Linked DNA regions of Astyanax mexicanus. The protein of the gene in region 1 purifies or fractionates together with the protein of each later gene. This does not show direct contact. Links are inferred from orthologs where the notes say so. Each region holds a gene or a part of one and is shown in the gene's direction. Other genes may lie near its edges. The genes, in order: clcn4, tmem9 and tmem9b.

Region 1 (7,159 bases):
ACATTATCTTTTTGAAATGACAAAAGGCCATACATTATGGGCATTCCAGCAGGCTAAAGCGGTGGAGCTCACTGGTTCAAATACCGGTCATGCAGCTTGCCATCAGCAAGCGAGCACCATTGGCCTTGCTCTCTCTGGGTGGGTAGATGGCACTCTTTCCCCTCATCACTCCAAAGGGTGCTGTCGATCAGCACAAGGCGTCTGTGAGCTGGTGTATCAGATTCGAGTCGCTGCACTTTCCTCCAAGTGCGCTGTGATGCTACTCTGCAATGCTGCATCAGCAACAGTTTGAGGCGGTGGCTGACTTCACATGTGTCTTCACCCTCTTTGTGTTGTGGCATCACTAGTGATAATATTAAATAAATAAATCAATAGGGAAAAGCCCATACATTTGCTCGTACAATATCTGCTAGCTTAGCCTACAGAGTTTTACTGAAGTTATAGGGAGTGCTCATGGTATTCTTGAGGGTCCATATCATGTAAAACAAAATATAATATAATAAAAATATAACTAATATAAACAGTTCTTATATACTTTTTTTCTTTTTTGCTTTGTGTGTTTCCCCACAGCAAAGGCACATATAAAGCACATATCATGAGTCCTCTGTACTCGAAACAGACTGTTATTGGATACCAAACCAAACCTGGGTTCTTTGTTAAAGGTCAAGCTGTTCCAGTCCACAACTTGCTCATGACACCATCCATGGTTGATGGATGGCCTGGATGGCAGGCAATTCATCTAAATGACTTCTCTCTGCTTCTCTTAGTTCAATAATGAGCAAAGTCAAAGTCAAAATGCATTTGAGAGCATTATAGAGACATGTAAGTCTCACCAAGAGATACACTACCCAAAAGTAGCCTATGGTAGTCTTATGTTCGCACTACATATGGTTGTTGGGAATTAGGAAGCTCCGGGCCTAGAGACTGCGTGGTGTGTAGTTAGTTATTAGCTAGCAATCAGTATATATATTTGAGAGTGGGCTACACAAAAGCTACTTTACAAAGCCTGGTCACACTGCTGCTACTCCTTCTGTTCATACATAAAGGAAAATTACAGCATGGAGTTTCTTAATAATGTTACAGGAGTAACATATATATATATATATATATATATATATATATATATATATATAAAGAAAGAGTTATCTTCTTTTAATGGTTACAGCTACAGTTACAAACTCCATCAGGGACAGTAAGGGAACAAGAGGGATTTAATACGCCCATAGTCTCATCTGGCTTTTACACTGCATATGGGGTGTAGATGGGACTCATATGAGATTAAGGCCGGCTGTAATGATAAGGCCCATTTGGGAAGCCCAACCTGAAGTATTTGAACTTTTTTAATATGTGTGACCTGTGTATTTCAGCCACCGTTACTGATGATATCTTGGTTCTATAAATCACAGTGCACCTTCAGAGGTCGTGTGGAGTTTTGGATCATATTTTTTTATTTAAAAAATAATTTAATATATATATTTTTGATCATTTCATCTGATAGTTGGTTAGTTAAGCCTTTGAAAAATAATTTTCCTATCTCAGAAATGATCACAGCAACTGTCAAGCAGTTGATGGGATCTTTTTTGTCATTGTCATATTTTATCAAAAATGATGCATTAACATTAAGATTTATTTTTAATATTTTAGGACTGTATCGTAAATTATACATTCCGCCCAATAAACACTTACCTTTAACTTATTTATTCTTATAATCAAAATGTTAAGAGAAAAGTATCAAATAACAGGGATTAAATCAAAGTGACAGGGTTGACAATCCACATTTTAATACAGTTTGGATCTATTTAATGAAATTAATTAAACATTTTAGAAGTTAAACTGTTGAGCCTGGCAATCTCTATCTGGCAATAATACATGTAATTTAGGCAAAAAAAATGGCATTTACTATTATTTGTTATTTTCTCAAAAGATAATGTTGCAGGAAATTTAAGGTCACTAGATTCAAAGAATCACCTGTTGGTTTCTGTTGAATTTTTTTCTATATGGTAAAGGAAGCTCTAATGACTTTTCTTTGCCCATTTCATCTATATACCTCAATAAACCACAACACTAGGGGTAAAAAATGTGCAATTGCAATGGAAAACTGTTCACCTCAAAGAAACAGAAAGTGTTTGTGAAGGTTGTGACAGATTTTATCTTGTGGGAGAACAGCACGGAGAGTTTTCTAGACCACAGGTTTCATTATCAGCATTAAGATTTACTCTGTAAACTCTGGTAAAGCAGACATGCCGACACTGTTGGGCACAACAGGCTCAGTTCAAATGTTTCACTGTGTAGTTTTTAAAAAAAATGCTGAGTGTAACATGTCTGCAGTGACTGCAAGTGTGAAATCACATCTGTCTACTCCCCATGTTCTCAAGTTTCTTACGACAGGCGTTTTAAAAATGCTGAGAGCTAACAGAAACAAACAAAAGGCTTTTCTTGCAGGCCAGCCTGAGACACGGGACTGCGCAGGCTGTGACGTCTGCTGGTAGGAGGCTAAACACGAAAGGCTCAAAGGGAAAACACATATCAAACACATGCAGTTTAACTCTTAACTCTCTTTCTGCCTCTCACTCACTGTGACCTCTCACTCACTCTGACTCTGAACTGTTGTGAAACATTATCTAAAATAAGCATAAAGATAGCAAGACATGAATTTTATTAGCCCATAGCACTAATAAAAAATCTGTTTATAATTTACAAAATCACAATGATAAGAGCTTTCAGGCTGATGATGACGAGGGTGTGATCTGTAATGACCATGATAGAGAAGGCCTAAAGCCCTCCTTAGAGCCGCTCTCATAGTAATAACAGCCTTCAAAGTTCATACAGGGTTAGAACAGGCCACAGTAGTGTATGAGCTAATCCTGGCACAGACACTGTATATATGAAATAATAAAAAAAACTCTCTAAACTACAATCTAAAGTAGGGCTTGACAATATTTCTTAAATAGTGATATATTTAAAATTATTTTATACAAGACACAAAAATAATAAATATCATATTACCACCTGTGTGTGATTTGATTCCAAAAAGTGTAAATTGTTTGGTTTTCAGAAGAATAAAAAACTGTTCTTGATCTTTTTACGGTCACAGTGTGTTGAAATAATTTCTTGTTTTATATTATAATAGTATTATAATGAATACTTATACAATCTGAAGGTAAGTTCAACTGTGCTATAGACGAGGGTGATGTTTCCATGTAATTTGGCACGCAGACACAATATGACAATATGCAGATCAGTCAATCAATAGTAACACCCCCCTGCTGACGCCCAACCATCTTTGTCTCAACACTATCAAAGGCACACTGCTGCTGCTGCAGCTCAGCCAATTAGCTCTTCCTCCTGCCCTGCCTCTAAACCCATACACCACCCAGTGCCGCTCCCAAACTACCCCTCTCATTTTTTAGCCTTTTTCAAATTTAAGTTGAGGGTGAAGTCAGCTAAAATAAATGGTTTAGTGCCCCTTTAAAAACCATTAAATTAATGTTGGTACAATGTCAGGATTTTTATTAACCGATGCCTAGTGTTGAATAATTTAAAAAGATTGTTTAAAGGTTGTCATTAATCTTAAATCAAAACAACAACGTTTATTCAATGTTCTTTTTTATCAGGGAGCTGTGAGATAAGAAAAAAAAACAATATATAAAAAAACAATGATATAAAACGTAATTTTATTATTTTTGAAGCTGTTATAGTGGTACATTATGCAAAAGTGAATACAAAATAAACTTTTATCATTTTTGAAGCTGTTATAGTGGCACCTTATGTAAAAGTGAATACAAAATAAAATTGTATCTTTTTTGAAGCTGTTATAGTGGCACCTTATGTAAAAGTGGATACAAAATATAAAATACAAAATACAAAATAAAAGTCTAAAAAAATGAGTGAGAATAGTTTCGACCTAATATTTTAAATATATATTTAAAAATAAGTTTAAATAGTAATATTACTATTAGAAAAAATATGTGGGTTCAGCTCCAGTGTTTTAAACTGTTTTTGGTGTTTCTTTGTTTTATGCGTAGATTTTCCTCGGTGTTGACCGTCAGTAGCGCACCCTGCCCGGGCTGCTGTGTGTGAGTGGAGCGCAGAGCTGCATGCTGGGAGCGCGCAGGGTCTTTTATATACTGCGCGCGCTGTCATTATTATTACTACACTAATAAATATAATATCTATTATAATAGCTATGAATTCCACAAAACCTCTGAGCGTTTAAGTGCCGCTATGTAACAGGCAGCAGCCGTTTGTGTGTCTCTGGATATAAAGCTATAATATAAGAGGCTAAATGGCGGAGGCAGAAGGTAAGCAGCCGCTATGGATGTTACCCAAATATAGCTTAGCTTAGCTAGCGCTAGTTCACCTGTCTCACACTCTCACTCCGTTCAGCTGTTCAGTTTACTGAGTTTAAATCCTTATTTCAGATATTCCAGTCATGTTGTTGTCCTAGAGAGGGTTGTTTTATTTTCGTGTGGGTTTGTTTTCAGTGCCAGCCGGGTGTCTGTCCTCTCTGACAGGCCGTGGAGCTGCTGGTGTTTATTTTATATTTTTAAATTTTCGCACCGTATTATGAATAAACCTGTCCTTAGCTAGATATGTGTATAAAAATGACAGTAAATGTAGCTTACAGAGTTTCTAGTTTAACTAGTCTGGCGTGATTTTCATCTTTGGTGGTGGAACTTTTATTTTGCTCTTTAGTTCCTCTAAGCACCTGCTCTCGTCTTTAGGAATAGATGGATTAGTGCATTATACCCTCATATAGGGCTTTATACGCTCATATAGAACATTATACACTCATATAGGGCTAAATACACTCATTTAGGGCTATATACACACATATAGGGCTATATATACAGTTTTTATAGGGCTGTTTACACTTATATAGGGCTATATACACACTCAAATAGGGCTGCATACAGTCATATATGGCTATATACACATATGTCATGCTGTATACAATCATATAGAGCAGTATAGACACACTTTTATAGGGCTAGATACACAAATATAGGGCTGTATACACACTGCATACAATTAATTAAATAAATAAATATATATATATATATATATATATATATATATACACACACACACACACACACATATATATATATATATATATATATATATATATATATAATGCATACAATTAAATATCATTAATTAATACATAGCCTATTAATATATATATATATATATATATATATATATATATATATATATATATATATATATATATATATAGCGTGAAAACTTTTTAAATTGACTAATTAATTGAAATTAAATCTTACTATTTTGGTTTCTTATCTTAATGACATAAGTATTACGGCTTCTGATAAAATGATTATGGTTAGATAATTTTGTGGCTGTCTCTTAGGGGTTAGCAGCGCCACTCCCACCGAGGAGATGAACGGCGCTGGGAACCTGATGGACTTCCTAGATGAGCCTATCCCTGATGTGGGAACATATGAAGATTTCCACACCATCGACTGGCTCAGAGAGAAGTCCAGAGATACTGACCGCCACAGGAAGGTAAAATGTGTATAAACAATGTATCTCCCAGTTGTCAGTCATGTTTTAGGTCATAATGGCTCCCTTCAGCTTAATGAAGGTCCATGTGTTGGGACTTGATCTTGACATGCTGTGGTTTAACGTAATTGTAATGTTTTCTGTAGATTACACACAGGAGTAAGGAGTCTATTTGGGAGTTTGTGAAGAGTCTGCTGGATGCCTGGTCAGGATGGGTGGTGATGCTGCTCATTGGGCTCCTGTCAGGTATGGAAAGTTAGTGGAAGCTGGTGATGGTCTTTTCTGCCAAATGCTTTGCAAACAGGTTTCAGACCAGTAACTGCTCTCCACATGCTGGATTCAGTTCATTTTCTACTTAACTGATCTCTGTGCATTGTTACACGTGACTTAAAAAAAATCACATAGGGGTTTTTTACCCAAACAATAGTTGGATTGTACTGTTGGATTTATTGCTGTTGTTTATAGGTACACATGGTTTCACCAAATCCTTTTGTTCTTTTTCAACAGTAATAGATGACAATTGCCAGAAGGTTTATATCTTTATTATAGTTATATAGTATAGATTGAAGGCTGTCACATGGTGATAAAGTGCAGCTACTGAATCTGTGGTCTGCAAAAACCAACAAACATTTCTTGTTTATTAACCAGGAAATACTTATCACATTTTCCAAGATAAGCTCAGTGCAATCGTATTTCCTTCTCTCGTGGTTTGTGAACCCCAGACCACTGTTTTCACAAGAACCATGGATGGCACCCAGGCTCAAAAGTAGCTTTTGCACTCCCGCAAACTTAGCAAAAGCTTGGACCACACCAGAGCTTACTTGAAGTGAACCCCAGTTTTTTAGAAGAATGCGGAACAATTGTACTTTTTCATAAGGACCTACTTTTGTATCAAATACAAATGTCCTTAATTTGTAGTGAGAACAGAGTTGCACAGTCCAAAAAAGCTGAAAAGTGCCCCTTAATGTACAGGATGGAGTTATTTTTAAGTTGCATTTGTAGCATTTTTACCTTGATTAACAGCTTATAATGAGGAAAACAGCACTGCTTCATGCTTTAATGCACATACTGCTACTCTGAAAAGTTTTAAAAGCTTGTTAATAAGCTTGTCAGGTGGACCAGGTAACTGGACAGATAATCAGGATGGAACAATTAAGAATAAAGAGTAAAAGAATATAGAATACAGTAAAAATGCAATAATAATAAAACCACCATTGCACTGCAGGTAGTCACATGGTAATTGCAGGCCATATTAGTTACAGTACAATATGTAAGTGTTCTACTAATTCTAAAAGCAATAATGAGACTGTATACATTTTTATGCCTCTATATCTTTTCTAATTCAGGCACTCTGGCTGGAGTAATAGACCTGGCTGTGGACTGGATGACTGACCTTAAAGAGGGAGTGTGTCTGTCTGCGTTTTGGTACAGCCACGAGCAGTGCTGCTGGACCTCCAACGAGACCACCTTCGCCGACAGAGACAAATGCCCCCAGTGGCAGAAATGGGCCGAGTTGATGACTGGATACAATGAGGTAGAAAAGCTGGTTAAGGCTACAATTTGTGTAGATTAAAACATTTTATATATTTTAGTTATTTAAATCTACTGTTATGCACCCCAATCTTAAAAATAG
Region 2 (7,647 bases), on another chromosome or scaffold:
TACAACCGTGCTGGGTCTCATCACCAAAGGCGACGAGTCAGCATACAGAGAGGAGGTGCAGCGGCTGACAGACTGGTGTACAGTCAACAACCTTCACCTGAATGTGGACAAGACAAAGGAAATGGTTGTTGACTTCAGGAGAGCACAACACACCCACTCTCCACTCAACATCGACGGGTCCTCTGTGGAGATTGTTAAGAGCACCAAGTTCCTTGGTGTCCACTTAGCAGATAACCTCACCTGGACCCTGAACACCAGCTCTACAGCCAAGAAAGCCCAGCAGCGTCTCTACTTCCTCCGGAAGCTGAGAAAGGCCCGTCTCCCTCCACCCATCCTCACACTCTTCTATAGAGGGACCATTGAGAGCATCCTGAGCAGCTGCATCACTGCCTGGTTTGGGACCTGCACCGTCTCTGACCGCAAGACCCTCCAGCGTATTGTAAGGACAGCTGAGAGGATCATCGGCGTCTCTCTCCCCTCCATCACGGACATTTACACCACCCGCAGCATCCGCAAAGCAACCAGCATTGTGAATGACCCCACTCATCCCTCACACGAACTGTTCTCCCTCCTGCCTTCGGGAAGAAGGTACCGCAGCATCCGGTCCAGCACGACCAGATTCTGCAACAGCTTCTACCCCCAAGCCATCAGACTCCTCAACTGCAGAGACTGAACTGATGGTTTTTCTGTACATGCACACACACTCTTACCCCACTTACCCCAGAAAATGGAAAGCACTAAAAACCCTACTACCTCACTGGACTCTATTGCACACTGTGTAATAGAGGTAATTACTACCTCACTGGTCTTTTTTGCACACTTTTTGCACACTGCATAATTTGCACACTGTCTTGTTATTTATTATTCTTTGTCTGTATTGTGTTGTATTGTCTGTCTGCACTTTTGTACTGTTGCACTATTGTTCTGTCTACACTGTGTTTATGTGCACCATGGTCCCTGGAGGAACGTTGTTTCGTTTCACTGTGTACTCTGTATATAGCTGAAATGACAATAAAAAACACTTTGACTTTGACTTTGAGTATCATGACCTTCTGGATCATTGACTTCTGTTACAAATCTGATAAAATTATTTTTTAATATCTCAGTTAGCCATATCATATTGCATGCAATAATACAATTCAAAATATTTTTTTGAATTCAGTGTTTTGTCATATCGCCAAAAGTATTGTTATGAAAATACCATGAAATATCTTGATATTATTTTAGAGCCATATCGTCCACCCCTACATCAGGATACTACTTTTTTGCTGTTTTTAGCAAATGAAAAAATTCACACTGTTCTCATTTCCCACAGACAGATTATATTTGTCCAGTATCATTTATTTTACTTTTTCTAATCCCGGATATATGGATATATATGGAGTGCACTATTATTAGTATCATGACATTCTGGATTATTGACTTTTGTTACAAATCTGATAAAATCCTTGTATTTGTTTATGTCTCAGTTAGGGGTGTTCCTTATCACATGCACATGTTATTATCATATGCAATAAAAACATTTAATTTTTATTTTGTTGTAGTAGTGTATACTTGAAATATATATATATTTTTTTATTCAGTGTTTTGTCATATCGCCAAAAGCATTATTACTGCGAACTAGAGTTGCACGGTGTACCGAAGGTTCGATTCTTTTTCGATACTACGTCATCACAAACGATTCGGTTCTTTAGCGTTCGATGCTTTCGATACTGTATATAGCCCAGTCACTAGCTTCAAATGAGTCAAATTAGTAGGCGCGATTTGATTCAGTTCATAAGAAAACTGATTCACACCGCAGCAGTCGGTGTGGCAGGATTCAGATAAACTTAGTGTTCTGAACAAATGAATCGATTCACGTGTGAATCGATTCATTTGACTCGGTTGAGAGCGACACACGCACGCGCAAGCCAGCAGAGCAGCAGCGAGAGAGAGCAGCGGCGAGTGTAGAATGGCGACGGCTAAAATAACAGATGTCTCTCGTCCGCGACTTGTAGACAAAACGGGCGCGAGGAGTGAAGTGTGGGAAAATAGTCTGAGATGTAGGCATCTGTTTTTAATTTATTTTTATTTTTAAATAAAATAACGAAAACTGAAAGTGAAACTAAACTACTTTATTTATTAGCGCTGTTTTCACTCCCGCAGTTGTACAGCGGGGGGTGTTGTGCCGATTCTGTCCGCGAAGCGGGAGTCGGATTCAGTAGCGAATTCGGCACAAGCGCGGCGGCCCCTCGCGGTCCGCGGTGTTAGTTGTAAGCGCTCGCGCTAGCCGCAAAATACGACAGAAAACACTGAGGGAGCTGCAGACTTATGTGTGGGACTAGAATATGCGCACGAGGAGATCAAAGAGAACCTTTACCTGTGAGTAGCTCACATCAGAACACGCAAATCTCTCTCTCTCTCACTCTCGCTGTGTCTCTCTCTGTGTCTCTCTCTCTCTCGCACGTGAACGCCTCCGCGTTTGACCTGCAGCACTGTGTTTAGCTGTTCTTAAAAATCATTTTAATTAAATAATAGTTCTATGCTTCTATGTTACAGTGTTATTTAACATAATTCTGATCATATTTCGCTCATTCATTTAGCAGACAAGCACCCTGATCTCTACAAAGAGCTGAGAAGTCGACAGGTTAGTGGAGTTAGTCAAGATACACTCTGTCTGTAGCTTTACTAAGATTTTCTAGCGACTGCTAGTAAATCACGTTAACATGGAGAGGAGTGTGCAGGAGTTTTGTTTTGGACCCGTGGTTTTCTCTATTTCTCCATTATCCCATTGGCTGTGAAACATGAACTCAAGATGTTCACGTTTTCGCGTTTCCATCGCAAATCTGTGGTCAGGCACGTAGCCTGCTTGCTCGTTACACTGAACATGGGCTTATTAATTATGTTATAGTTAAGGTTATAATAACGAAACTTGTTTTTTGTTCAAATGTTTCATTTTAGAATAAAAACGTTTGCACCGATTGTTCAGTGTTCAATCCAGTTCTGTCAAAAATAAACAGTTTATGTTCAGATATTTTTATTGTTTTTTTTCTTCCAAGTATCGTTTTGGTATCGAGAATCGTGATACTACAGTTGGTATCGGTATCGAAGTCAAAATTTTGGTATCGTGACAACCCTACTGCGAACATACCATAAAATAGTGTGATATTTTAGGGCCATATCGCTATCACTACTGTGTAATTATATTATATGAATCTACAATGTAGAAAATACATTTAATAATTAAACAAAAGAAAAACACTGAATTAATTTAATTAAAATTACTTTAAGGGCCAGTTTCTGAAATGGAGAAAAAAATAAAAAATAAATAAATAAATAATAAATAATAATAATAATAATAATAATAATAATAATAATAATAATAATAATAAGCGGGCTGTATATATATATATATATATATTTATTTTTATTTTATTTTTTTTAATGGGAAATCTCAATTCAAAAGGCTGTGTAGTCACTGTTTAGGATTGTACCGCTAAGGATGTGTGCTGCTGGTATTATTAAGCTACTAGAAAGACACATGTAGTTTATAGCTGATATGATTTTAGGCTAAAACTGCTGGATTTTGTAATATTTTAAGTACTTTAAACAGACAGACACTCCTCAAACCATTAGCTACCACACAATACTACACACAGGCCAGCGGGCTAACCGGCAGCGGAGAGAGGAGCACAGCGTGGAGCGGTTACTGAGAAAACCCAAATAATTTACAGTTAATCTAGTAAAACAAATCAGCTGGCACCAGTTTAACCCACAGTTATACAGAGTTAAATCATGATTTCCCGCTGTGATTATTAACGTTACTCTCAGACTGTATTAAACTCAGTCCCGGGCCCGGTATTACTCCGATCCTCTGATAATCTCCTCGGTTTGGCGCTAACTCCGCCGCTGCTGCTGCTCCCCCACAACAACACACTGCTTTAAACTAACCAGCGAACAGCCCGTTAAACTACAGCGATTACTGCACTATAAACAACCCCACCCACACAAACAACGCCTTATACTCACTAAACTACACAAACACAACTCCTCCAACCGCCGCTGGTCTCCGCTACTAAACCTACAGCACGAGAAACACGAGTTTAAAGAGTTTAACCCCAGCGATTTCTTACCTTTCAAATCTTCCGCCATCTTCCTACTACCGCCAAAATGGAATATTAAAATACCGCACGCCGATTGGACACGGAGCTGTGTGATTGACAGCTAAATGAACCAATAGGAACAAGGCTTTCCAACTCTTACGTGCATGACGTAAGATGTGTTGGTAAAAATATGAAAAGTCAGTTTAATCCGTGCTTAATGTACAAATTAAGCTTCGTATGCAAAAAATTGAAAAATATAATTATTTTTATTTTTGTTACATTAAATTATTGCATTACATATTTATAGCTAACAATTTAATGTAAAATATATATATATATATATATATTACATTTTATTTCATACAAAGCTTAATTTGTACACAACAATTTTGAGCAGAACTTGAGCAGATACTAAAAAGAGCTTATTTTTATTCGGATTTTTACTTTCTGGACCTGAGTTACCTTCCTCTAGGTGAAAACAATTAAAAAATTAAGATATCTAAATTAAATTTAGAAATAAACCTGCGCAGTTTAAATATTAGGACTCTTATTTTGAAGTGTGTAACAGCGGTTACAGTTGCAGAGTCGGTTGCTCTGTTTCGGGTATGGTTACAAGTTGTTAGCAGGTCTAAAGGTAAGCAGTGTTTAATATCTGGAAATTTTCTGTATTAAATGTATGTATAGAGTGTGTTTACAGTGAGGGTGGAGAGGGTAGTGAATAATATATTCTGCGTAAGGAGATGATTAAGTTCTATGTATCTCTTGATGTATCTCTTGTATCTCTTGATCCTAGTCTACAAACTAGCTTTGGGTATCTTTAAGTAACTTTGAAGCACTGTTGTAAGTCGCTCTGGATAAGGGCGTCTGCTAAATACCGAAAATGTAAATGTAAATGTAAATGAGCTAAGCTATCTGTAGCTGTTTAGCGTTGGCTATGGCAGCTAAGCTAACGGCTAACCACAGAGACTGAACTGCAGAAGTAACTAGGCGTCATGGGAGAAATTTAACTAATAAAACATTTTAATTTGTTTTTATAAGCATTTTAGCCCCGGAATTTCATAGCATAAAGCTTCATTACTACACATGAACTTTACACTGTTTATTTAAAAGCCTCACTGTTCACCAGTGTACTGTATATCTGTGTAGTATGTAGCTACTACAGCTCTGTAAAAAAAATAACAGACCACTTTACTTTCTGAATCAGTTCAACTGATTTTGCTATTTATAGGTTTATGTTTGAGTAAAATGAACATTGTTGTTTTATTCTATAAACTACAGACAACATTTCTCCCAAATTCCAAATAAAATACTCATTTACAGCATTTATTTGCAGAAAATTAGAAATGGCTGAAATAACAAAAAAAAAGATGCAGAGCTTTCAGACCTCAAATAATGCAAAGAAAACAAGTTCATATTCATAAAGTTTTAAGAGTTCTGAAATCAATATTTGGTGGAATAACCCTGGTTTTTAATCACAGTTTTCATGCATCCTGGCATGTTCTCCTCCACCAGTCTTACACACTGCTTTTGGATAACTTTATGCCACACCTGGTGCAAAAATTCAAGCAATTCAGTTTGGTTTGATGGCTTGTGATCATTCATCTTCCTCTTGTGTATATTGTAGAGGTTTTCAATTTAGTCAAGAAATTAGGAAAAAACATCATAACTAATTAATTAACTAAGTGGTCTCTTAGTTGTTTCCAGAGCTGTGTATATATATACTTCCTCACATGTGAATACTAATGAATTTGTCATTACTGTTTAAAGACTGATCATTTTACAGGGTCACTAATCAACTAACTTCAACTAGATTCCTATTGATCGAGATTGTTTCTTATCATGTTCTGTCGCAACACACAGCATGCACAACTCCCAGATTTGAATTCTAACATGGAAAATTTGGTCAGTGACTGTGAAATCGCTTGAAAAGCTGCATAATTTGTGTTTTTTATTGCAGAAGGGACCACAATGTTATGCAGTATTCGAGGACTCGGTGCTTCAGCACTGGGTTTGCTGGCTTTGGTTTTCTTTGAAACTGTGTCCAATGCACTTGCCAGTAGAGTAAGTTTATGGTTCTATATCGATTTCTTCAATTCTCTCCTGTTACAGTTTAACAGCTGATGTATCATAACACTTGTGCCATTAATATCACTCTTATTATTGGATTTTGACATTCATATTTCGGATCTAAATATGGTATTGTTCACCACTGTTCTTTTCTTGTCTTAGAACTTTGAAGATGTTCGTTGCAAGTGCATCTGTCCTCCCTACCGTAACATCAGTGGCAATATCTATAACAGGAATGCTACCCAAAAGGACTGGTGAGTTTCATTTCGTTCAGCATCCACAGGGGACTAATGTGCACCCATTTTATTTCAGTGTGGCTGTATGCTATCAAATTCTCACAGAAGCTTTCTCAGATTAATACAGACTGTTACTGCAGCAAAATTAGATGAGCACAATATTAACACCATTGAGCCCTGAATAATTGTATTTCTGCATACCTTTAGCCATTAAAATATGTACTGTAGAATATGTGCACATGGACAAAAGTATTGGGATGCAAAATCAAGGGTAGTAATCCTGCTCCAAAAAGTCTATCCTGCTTTTGTATAAGTAACTGTCTCTACTGTACAGGGAAACATATTTGGTTGCGTTCAAGGAAAAGAGCATTATTGGATGATCACCACCCTATCTTATTCCCAACTCATCCCAAAAGTAATGGATGGAGCTCCATTATTGCAGGGAACACTGTTCCTCCACTGACCACTTTAGCCCGTACATCGCATTAAGAATAGTGCAATCTAGTTTGGGTTTATCTGCTCCAGAGAGTTCTATTCTATTGGCAGTACTTCTCTACAGTGTGCAGATCTGTCCTCAAAGATAAATGTGCTTCTTAGAATAATCTTAAGTACTAAATAAAACATATTCTGGTTTCTTTACCACTTTTTGTTTCCTAAATATTTTTGCATCTGTTTCTGTGTAGCTTTAATATAGTCTTCAATATTAAATTTTCAATGTAAAAAATCATAAAAAGAAAAAAAAAAACACATTGAATGAATAGATTTGTGTCCAAACGTTTGACTGGTACCGGATGTATGTATGTCTATAAGTCATTTTAATTACATGTTTTGTGTGTTTTTATAGTAATTGCCTGCATGTAGTGGAGCCCATGCCTGTTCCTGGTCATGATGTGGAGGCTTACTGTCTGCTCTGTGAGTGCAAGTATGAGGAACGCAGCAGCAACACCATCAAGGTATGTATGTTCCATTAATCTGTTACTGGTTACTTTCTAACTAAAACCAGGTGTGAACAGCTGTGTGCTTTTATCATTCGTAATTCATGATCTGATTGGATCACCCAGGACGTGTGTTAAAGCCAGGTGTGAACGTGTATTCTTCACTGTCTTTCCCAGGTCACCATAATCATCTACCTGTCTGTGGTCGGCTCTCTTCTGCTGTACATGCTGTTTTTGCTGCTGGTGGATCCGCTGATCCGCAGACACGATCCGTACCTGCAGCCACTGCAGAATGAAGAGGATGCTGAGGTACATGCCCTCACGCCT
Region 3 (7,449 bases), about 11 Mb from region 1:
CAATTTCAGTGCAGCACTGGTTGTTAAGTAACTTTAACGGTTGCAATGTTTGCAATGCTTGTGTTGAATCTCTGATAGAAATGCTGTTCTAGTCTGGTCTTAAAGGAGAACTCTGGTGTAAAATGTACTTTTGTTGTAGTAAAACATGATAAAAAGTTCTTATCTTTGATGAATAGCACACCTCCGCTCTCCCACAGCGTTCAGAGATCCAGAAATTTTAACAGTTTATCCAACAAACACCCTTCAGACTGGGAGATACGGGGCATAATTTACCCTGATAAATCACTTTTTACACCGTTATCCAGCTCAAAGTAGCTCCACACCTCCTTACTAGAATCTGGAGAGCCCTGATATTTAAAACGAGGCATTAATAACTTAGAAAGTGCACAAAAAGAAGCTTATTAAAATCCACTGTTTACATCCCGTAACACTACTAGCTGCCGCCGCCATCACTGTACTGATAATGACATAGACATATATATACATAGACTCTGCATTGCATCTATAGAATCTATGTATATATATGTCTGTCATTATCAGTACAGTGATTGCGGCGCTCAGAGCTGAAGCTAGTAGCATTATGGGATGTAAACAGTGGTTTTTAATAAGCTTCTTCTTCTGCACTTTTTAAGTTATTAATGCCTCGTTTTAAATATCAGGGCTCTCCAGATTCTAGTAAGGAGGTGTGGAGCTACTTTGAGCTGGATAACGGTGTAAAAAGTGATTTATCAGGGTAAATTATGCCCCGTATCTCCCAGTCTGAAGGGTGTTTTTGGATAAGCTGTTAAAATTTCTGGATCTCTGAACGCTGTGGGAGAACGGAGGTGTGCTATTCATCAAAGATAAGAACTTTTTACCATGTTTTACTACAACAAAATCCATTTACACTATTTTACACAGGAGTTCTCCTTTAAAGGAACAAAATGTACTTTATTACAGCAAGCATGTAAAATAGATAACGGAGTCCAATTTCAAAGCTTTCTGCTTGAACAGAACCTACAGGGAAGAAAAAGCAAGTTCAAGAACGCTTTAAAGGGCTTTCAACACTGTACTCTGATAATAATTCGATCAGCTAATGTATATGTTTGTATAAGGTTGCGATGTATGCATTATTCTTGCAGCATTATAAACCAGCAGATATGGAGTTTATATAACTTTTAGCTTTTTAAACTGTTAGCTAGCTGCACCGTTATCTTAAAAAAAGACAATTGAGGAGAAAATGAGCAGCTCAGCATCCGTCTTGTAGTCCTTCTGGGATCCAAGCGATCTCCATCTACTGGTGTTTTAAACTATCTCTGCTCATGTAGAAGAAAGATTTTTAAGAAGATGCTGAGGCTACAGTACACCAAAGTTTACCTACGCTAGTGTGTTCCATACCTGGCAACCTGATAGAGGTAGTGGGCGTGGTTTAAGACTAAAACAGAGACAAACAGGTTTACACTCCATATTGAACAATTAATGGAAGAACCTCCTAGCTAAAGCTCTGCTGTCTGTGTGATGCAGGGGCTTAAAGTTAGCATTAGCTCTTTTACTGCTACTAAAAATTAGGTCAACAAAATTGATCAACTGATCACTGATCAGTTTCTGGGAATTTAACGGTATGTTTTGACTACAGGAATCTGAGCTTGGGCTACTTAACGCTACTCATTTATGTTACAGAGTTTAAATTAAAGTCTATATTTTTATGTCTGTACATCTAACATGTAAATAAAAAAACAAATAAACCTGGTATTGTTTCAAATCTATTTAAAAACCGATGGGTGGGAGAGTAGAATGAAGTAACTGTAGTAATAATCTGTGTAATAAATCAGGTTAAACTGTACCTGAACAGCTGTTTAGCTCAAATTAAAGGAGTATATTTGATAGCTGGGTCAGATCGAGACTGCATTACGTTCTCGTGTGGTGGGTGGGTCTTTAAAATGTAGCTCCTCAACCACAGACGCAGCTCCTCCTCTGTTGAAGGTGTGAACGGAAGTTTAACGGAAAATGTGGGTAAATTTTTGTACAAAATTAATTCTATAAAAATCTGTTTATCCATTGTACATGCGTTTTACTGTACGTAGATAAAAAAAATTAGTGACAGGACAGGGACACTTCAGGGGGCCAATCAGGTTTCAGCTTGGGCCAAAATGTCATTGTGGCCCCGTCCTTACGTAAAACTGTATCAAGCTTTATTAAACTCATATATTATGTAGATGTATTACACACAAAGTGATCTATTTTAAATGTTTATTTATTTTATTATTGATTATTATGAAGCTTACAGACAATAAAACCCAAAAGTCAGTGTCTCAGAAAATTAGAATATTATAAAAGACCAATTGGTACTTTTGGCAGTGTGGGCAGTGTGCCAAGTCCTGCTGGAAAATGAAATCCTCATCTCCAAACCATCACTGATTGGTGGAAACTTCACACTAGATCTAGTCTAAAGTAATTTCTTCTTTTATGGAGATGTGGATTTTATTTTCCAGCAGGACTTGGCACACTGCCCATACTGCAGAAAGTACCAATTGGTCTTATATAATATTCTAATTTTCTGAGACACTGATTTTTGGGTTTTATTGGCTGTAAGCTTCATAATCATCAATAATAAAATAAATAAAGGCTTAAAATAGATCACTCTGTGTGTAATACATCTATATAATGTGAGCTCCACATTTTGAACTATTAAAATAACTTTTCAATGATATTCCATACCTGTCAAGTCTCCCGTTTTGGCCGGGAAGCTACCGTATTTTACTCCTCTTTCACGCCGTCCTCCCGTATTATTATTTTCCCGTAAATTTCCCGTATTATATTAAAATAATATATATATATATATATATATATATATATATATATATATATATATATATATATATATATATTATTGAGGAGACAGGGCACTGACCGCTCTGTGTCTCTTAACCAATCGTGGAGCCGGTTCAAGGAGAAAGTCCCGCCTTTCAGGAGAAACAGCCAATCAGCTTGCAAAGGAGGGTCAGTGTGGGGAAGCCCCCCGTCGCGGTGAGTTCAGGCAGCTCGTCGGAGCAGCTGATGATAAAACCTATCTGTATATACAGCGATTTTTCTAAAAGAAATGTAACTGTAGGCTAATGGAAACTATGATGAGATTTTTCTGATAGCTGCTTAAAAATACTCATCTCCGAAATAAAACACACAGATTAAACCTTTTAAAATTATAAAAATAAAGTTTGTGACTCAGTTTAACTAGAAATTTGTAGAGGACCGAAATGAACTGAACTGATCAGGGGTGGAGTGATCAAAAGAAAGAAGTATTAATTAAAGATTATTAATTGTGTAGGCCCATTAGGACTAATTTTTACTGATGGAATATATCTGGTCCTTGTCCTTTTAGTAAAAGCTCATGATACTATTTTTTAGGTCACCTACAGTCATTTTGTAGAATTTGTGCACCCTTTGTTCAATTTTAAATCCATTAAATAAAAAAATATATATATCATATAAAAGAGTGCATTATGCCAAAAAAGCCAAGACATGAAATCTTAACTTTTTTTAAAATATCTAGATAAGGATTTTTAATTTGGCTGCATTAAAAGAATGACATATGTAGGATTGTCCACAACATTTCAGATTCTGATAATCTAATTGTAGTGTGTAAGTGTTTCACATGTGGTTATTTTAGATTTTTTTTAAACCTGTCTTAAAATGTAAGGGATACTGAACCTTCGTTGGGGATGGTGGGACGGCTTTAAGTGGACAGAGGAAAATATCCCTTATTTTTAAATCTAAAACTTGACAGGTATGTGATATTCTATTTTTTTAAGATGCACTAGTATAAAAATAAAAAAGAGAGCACTTCAGTTTCTGAATCAGTTTCTCTGCTTTTGCTATTTACAGGTTTATGTTTGATAAAAATGAACATTGTTGTTTTATTCTATAAACTACAGACAACATTTCTCCCAAATTCCAAATAAATTTATTGTCATTTAGAGCATTTATTTACAGAAAATGAGAAATGTCTGAAATAACAAAAAAGATGCAGAACTTTCAGACCTCAAATAATGCAAAGAAAACAAGTTCATATTCATAAAGTTTTAAGAGTTCAGAAATAATCAATATTTGGTGGAATAATCCTGGTGGTTTTTAATCACAGTTTTCATTCATGCATCTTGGCATCATGATCTCCGCCACCAGTCTTACACACTGCTTTTGAATAACTTTAAGCAGTTCAGTTTGGTGGTTTGTGATCATCCATCTTCCTCTTGATTATATTCCAGAGGTTTTTAATTTGGTAAAATCATTTTTAAGTGCTTTATTATTTTTTTCAGAGCTGTATAGTTCCTGTTTTTTGGTTCCTGTTGTTTGAGGGGGGAGTGTTATTGGTGCTGCACAGGGTGCTGATGATCAGCTGATGTGTTGGTAGTGCAGTACTGATTACACTCGGTTATTAATCTGATCTTTAGCCTTTAGAACCGTCCAGAACCCGCGGCTCCGGTTCTGATCGGCTCCGGTTCTGATCGGTGTGTGTGAGCGGGGTGTGAGCGGAGAGCTGTGCGGTAGAGAGATGCAGGCTGCGGGCGGAGTGCGGCTGCTGGCGCTGGGCTGTGTTCTGGTGCTCTCAGCGCAGCTCGCCGAGAGTAAGGTAAATAATCACATTTAATTATTAATATTAATATTAATAAACATTAATATACACTATCAGTTATTAAATATACCATTCTGTATCAGCGTCTACACCAGGATACCGTTTACATATAAACATCACTAGGCTAGCTACTGTACTTAGCTTCACTAGCTAGCGCGCTAATGCTAACTCTGTAGTTATCAGTGTAGTAACTAACGTTATAGCTATATGACAGCGGACTGTAAACCCAGTTAGCCAGCTAGCTTTAGCTAGATAATAACACTAACTCTGTAGTTATCAGTGGACTTTAAACCTGGTTAGCTTTAGCTTTAGCTAGCTCTGTAGTTAATCAGTGTAGTAACTTAACTAACTTATATAACAGCGGACTGTAAACTGAGTGACCAGCTAGCTTTAGCATTAGCCTTAGCTAAATAATAACTCTATAGTTTACCTGGTTAGCTTTAGCTTTAGCTAACTCTTTAGTTAGTAATGCAGTATATAACCTAGTTAACTGTGGGCTTTAAACATAGTTAGCTTTAGCTTCCTAAATTATTCTCCTTACTCATTTTTCAAGTTTTCCAGAAAAACTTGAAAAATGAGGTTTATAACGCTAACGTCAGCTAGTTAACGTTACACTAAATGTCATTTCGACAATTATCTTAAATAAAAATCGCCTTATTCTTTTATTTTTCACTAAAATTGTTATAGTAAAAAAACAAAAACATATATGACATGTTTTATTATCAGCTTTAGCTAGCTGCAGTTAGCAGTGTAGGCTAGAACTGAGGGCTTTTAACATAGTTAGTCATAGGTTTAGCCCTAGTTTTAGCTTTAGCCCTAGTTTTAACCCTAGCTGTATTGCTGGTTTTGGATTCAGTCCTAGTTTTAGACCTAGCTGAAGACATAGCTTTAGCCCTATCCATAGTTTTAGCTTTATTCCTAGTTTTAGCTTTATCCCTAGTATTAGCTGTATCCCTAGTTTTAGCTTTATCCCTAGCTGTATGCCTAGTTTTAGAGTTATCCCTAATTTTAGCTGTATCCCCAGTTTTTTACCCTAATTTTAGTCCTAGCTGTATTCCTCAGATTTAGCTTTATTCCTAGATTTAGCCCTAGCTGAATCCATAATTTTAGATTTAGCCCTAGCTGTATCGCTAGTTTTGGCTTTAACCCCAGCTGTATCCCTAGTTTTAGCTTCAATCCTAGTTTTGGCGTTAGCCCTAGCTTTATCCTTAGTTTTAGCTTTAGCCCTATCTATATGCCTAGCTTTAGATTTATCGCTTATTTTATCTGTATCCCTAGTTTTAGCGTTAGCCCTAGGTTTAGCCCTATCTGTATCCCTAGCTTTAGCCCTAATTTTATCTGTATCCCTAGTTTTAGCCCTAATTTTGGCCGTAGCTCTAGTTTTAGGTAGATAATAACACTAACATCAGCTAGTTACACTTACTGCCATATTGACACTTTTTTTACTTAATAATCTCCTTAATCTTTTTTTTCAAGGTTGTTCAGAAACTCAAAAAGTATATCAGGGTTTTTAAGGGAATTTAGATTAAGATTAGGCATTGTGCACAAAGGTACCTGGTACCTGAGTCCTATTCTTTTGGCAGTACTGTGATTTAATGTATTAATTAAAAGGATGTCTGCAGTTATTTGGATATGTAGCTGGTTGGGTTGGTTAGCTGATAAAGTGTGGTTATGTTTCTTTATCCGCCAGTAGTGCAGAACTCAGGTTAAAAACAAAACAAGGGGGCTAGGCTCTGCCACGATATTTACATTATCAACTAATTGTACAATAAATTGACATGACCTTAATAATATGCAATAATGGTGATTTTTAACAGTGAACAGTTTTTTGCCCTGCCCTTACCTGTGGCGTCTTGTGATTGATACACAGGGTTTAGATATTTCCCTTGTTAATCTTGTTTTTTTATGTTTCTATGTTGTTTTTTTACTCTGTTTCAGAACTCTGAAGACATACGATGCAAGTGTATCTGCCCACCTTACAAAGAGATCGAAGGACAGATCTACAATCAGAACGTTTCACTGAAGGATTGGTAATCCATTAAACACAATCTGAGAATCTGCTTTTCCACAGGGGATTAAATTTAGCTCTGGGCTGTTCAGAGAGCTGCACAGTGCAGTGAGCCTGACACGATAATTACTTTATTGATTTATTGTACACTATACCCGGCACAACCTTTGTCATTTCCGCTGAACTCAGAATTATTATTAATGTTTATAAACAGCCCAGATAGGGATTGATGGACGGAGGTTTCCGGTTGAGAGTACCGTTTTTTTTTTTTTTGCACTATAAAGTGCATTGTGCGACACTAGTAAGGAACAGGGGTGTCACCATTTTTTCCTACTAATTCAGCAGGTCTTGCCACTGGGTGGCGGATCTGTAAAGCTAAGCTTAGTTAGGTAAACAAAAAATTCCCTTCTAATTCTTAAATACAATAACAAATGCAGTAAATACATTTTTCTCAACTATTTTTTTTTCTGTAATACCTAATATTATATTTTCTTAGGATTAAATTCTCTGTTGTTACTGTTATGATTCCATCCTTTCCATCGTTCATTCCTACATAAATTCGAGTTTTTAAATCGTTAACGTAATTGTTGATTGGTTTATATTTAACATTTATATTCTTGTCCTCAGTAACTGCCTGCATGTTGTGGAGCCGATGCCGGTGGAGGGGAAGGATGTGGAGGCGTACTGTTTGCGCTGTGAATGCAAATACGAGGAGAGAAGTTCTGGAACCATTAAAGTGAGTTTCTGCTTCTAAAAACTAAGATTATACAGCAAGAAGTTCAGAAGTACATGTGTTTAGTGGAATGCATGCATTAGTGCTGCCAGTATTGCT

What was found.
Region 2: the proteins of clcn4 (region 1) and tmem9 purify together in Homo sapiens (co-immunoprecipitation; 3 studies listed by BioGRID and IntAct, with this or other methods). This does not show direct contact. The link is inferred for Astyanax mexicanus from reciprocal best matches to the Homo sapiens genes CLCN4 and TMEM9.
Region 3: the proteins of clcn4 (region 1) and tmem9b purify together in Homo sapiens (co-immunoprecipitation; 3 studies listed by BioGRID and IntAct, with this or other methods). This does not show direct contact. The link is inferred for Astyanax mexicanus from reciprocal best matches to the Homo sapiens genes CLCN4 and TMEM9B.

The regions. Positions count from the first base shown.
Region 1 is NC_064423.1:30,793,867-30,801,025, forward strand, and holds the start of clcn4 (H(+)/Cl(-) exchange transporter 4), read left to right. Parts: upstream 1-4,126; 5' UTR 4,127-4,285; coding exon 4,286-4,301; intron 4,302-5,374; coding exon 5,375-5,529; intron 5,530-5,672; coding exon 5,673-5,772; intron 5,773-6,872; coding exon 6,873-7,060; intron 7,061-7,159. UniProt on the Homo sapiens protein: Strongly outwardly rectifying, electrogenic H(+)/Cl(-)exchanger which mediates the exchange of chloride ions against protons.
Region 2 is NC_064419.1:42,482,454-42,490,100, forward strand, and holds the start of tmem9 (transmembrane protein 9), read left to right. Parts: upstream 1-4,621; 5' UTR 4,622-4,716; intron 4,717-6,039; 5' UTR 6,040-6,050; coding exon 6,051-6,143; intron 6,144-6,311; coding exon 6,312-6,403; intron 6,404-7,229; coding exon 7,230-7,338; intron 7,339-7,497; coding exon 7,498-7,629; intron 7,630-7,647. Other genes in the region: histone-lysine N-methyltransferase SUV39H1b, read right to left, coding at 4,113-4,131. UniProt on the Homo sapiens protein: Transmembrane protein that binds to and facilitates the assembly of lysosomal proton-transporting V-type ATPase (v-ATPase), resulting in enhanced lysosomal acidification and trafficking.
Region 3 is NC_064423.1:41,763,226-41,770,674, reverse strand, and holds the start of tmem9b (transmembrane protein 9B), read left to right. Parts: upstream 1-4,337; 5' UTR 4,338-4,528; coding exon 4,529-4,606; intron 4,607-6,547; coding exon 6,548-6,639; intron 6,640-7,244; coding exon 7,245-7,353; intron 7,354-7,449. UniProt on the Homo sapiens protein: Enhances production of pro-inflammatory cytokines induced by TNF, IL1B, and TLR ligands. Has a role in TNF activation of both the NF-kappaB and MAPK pathways.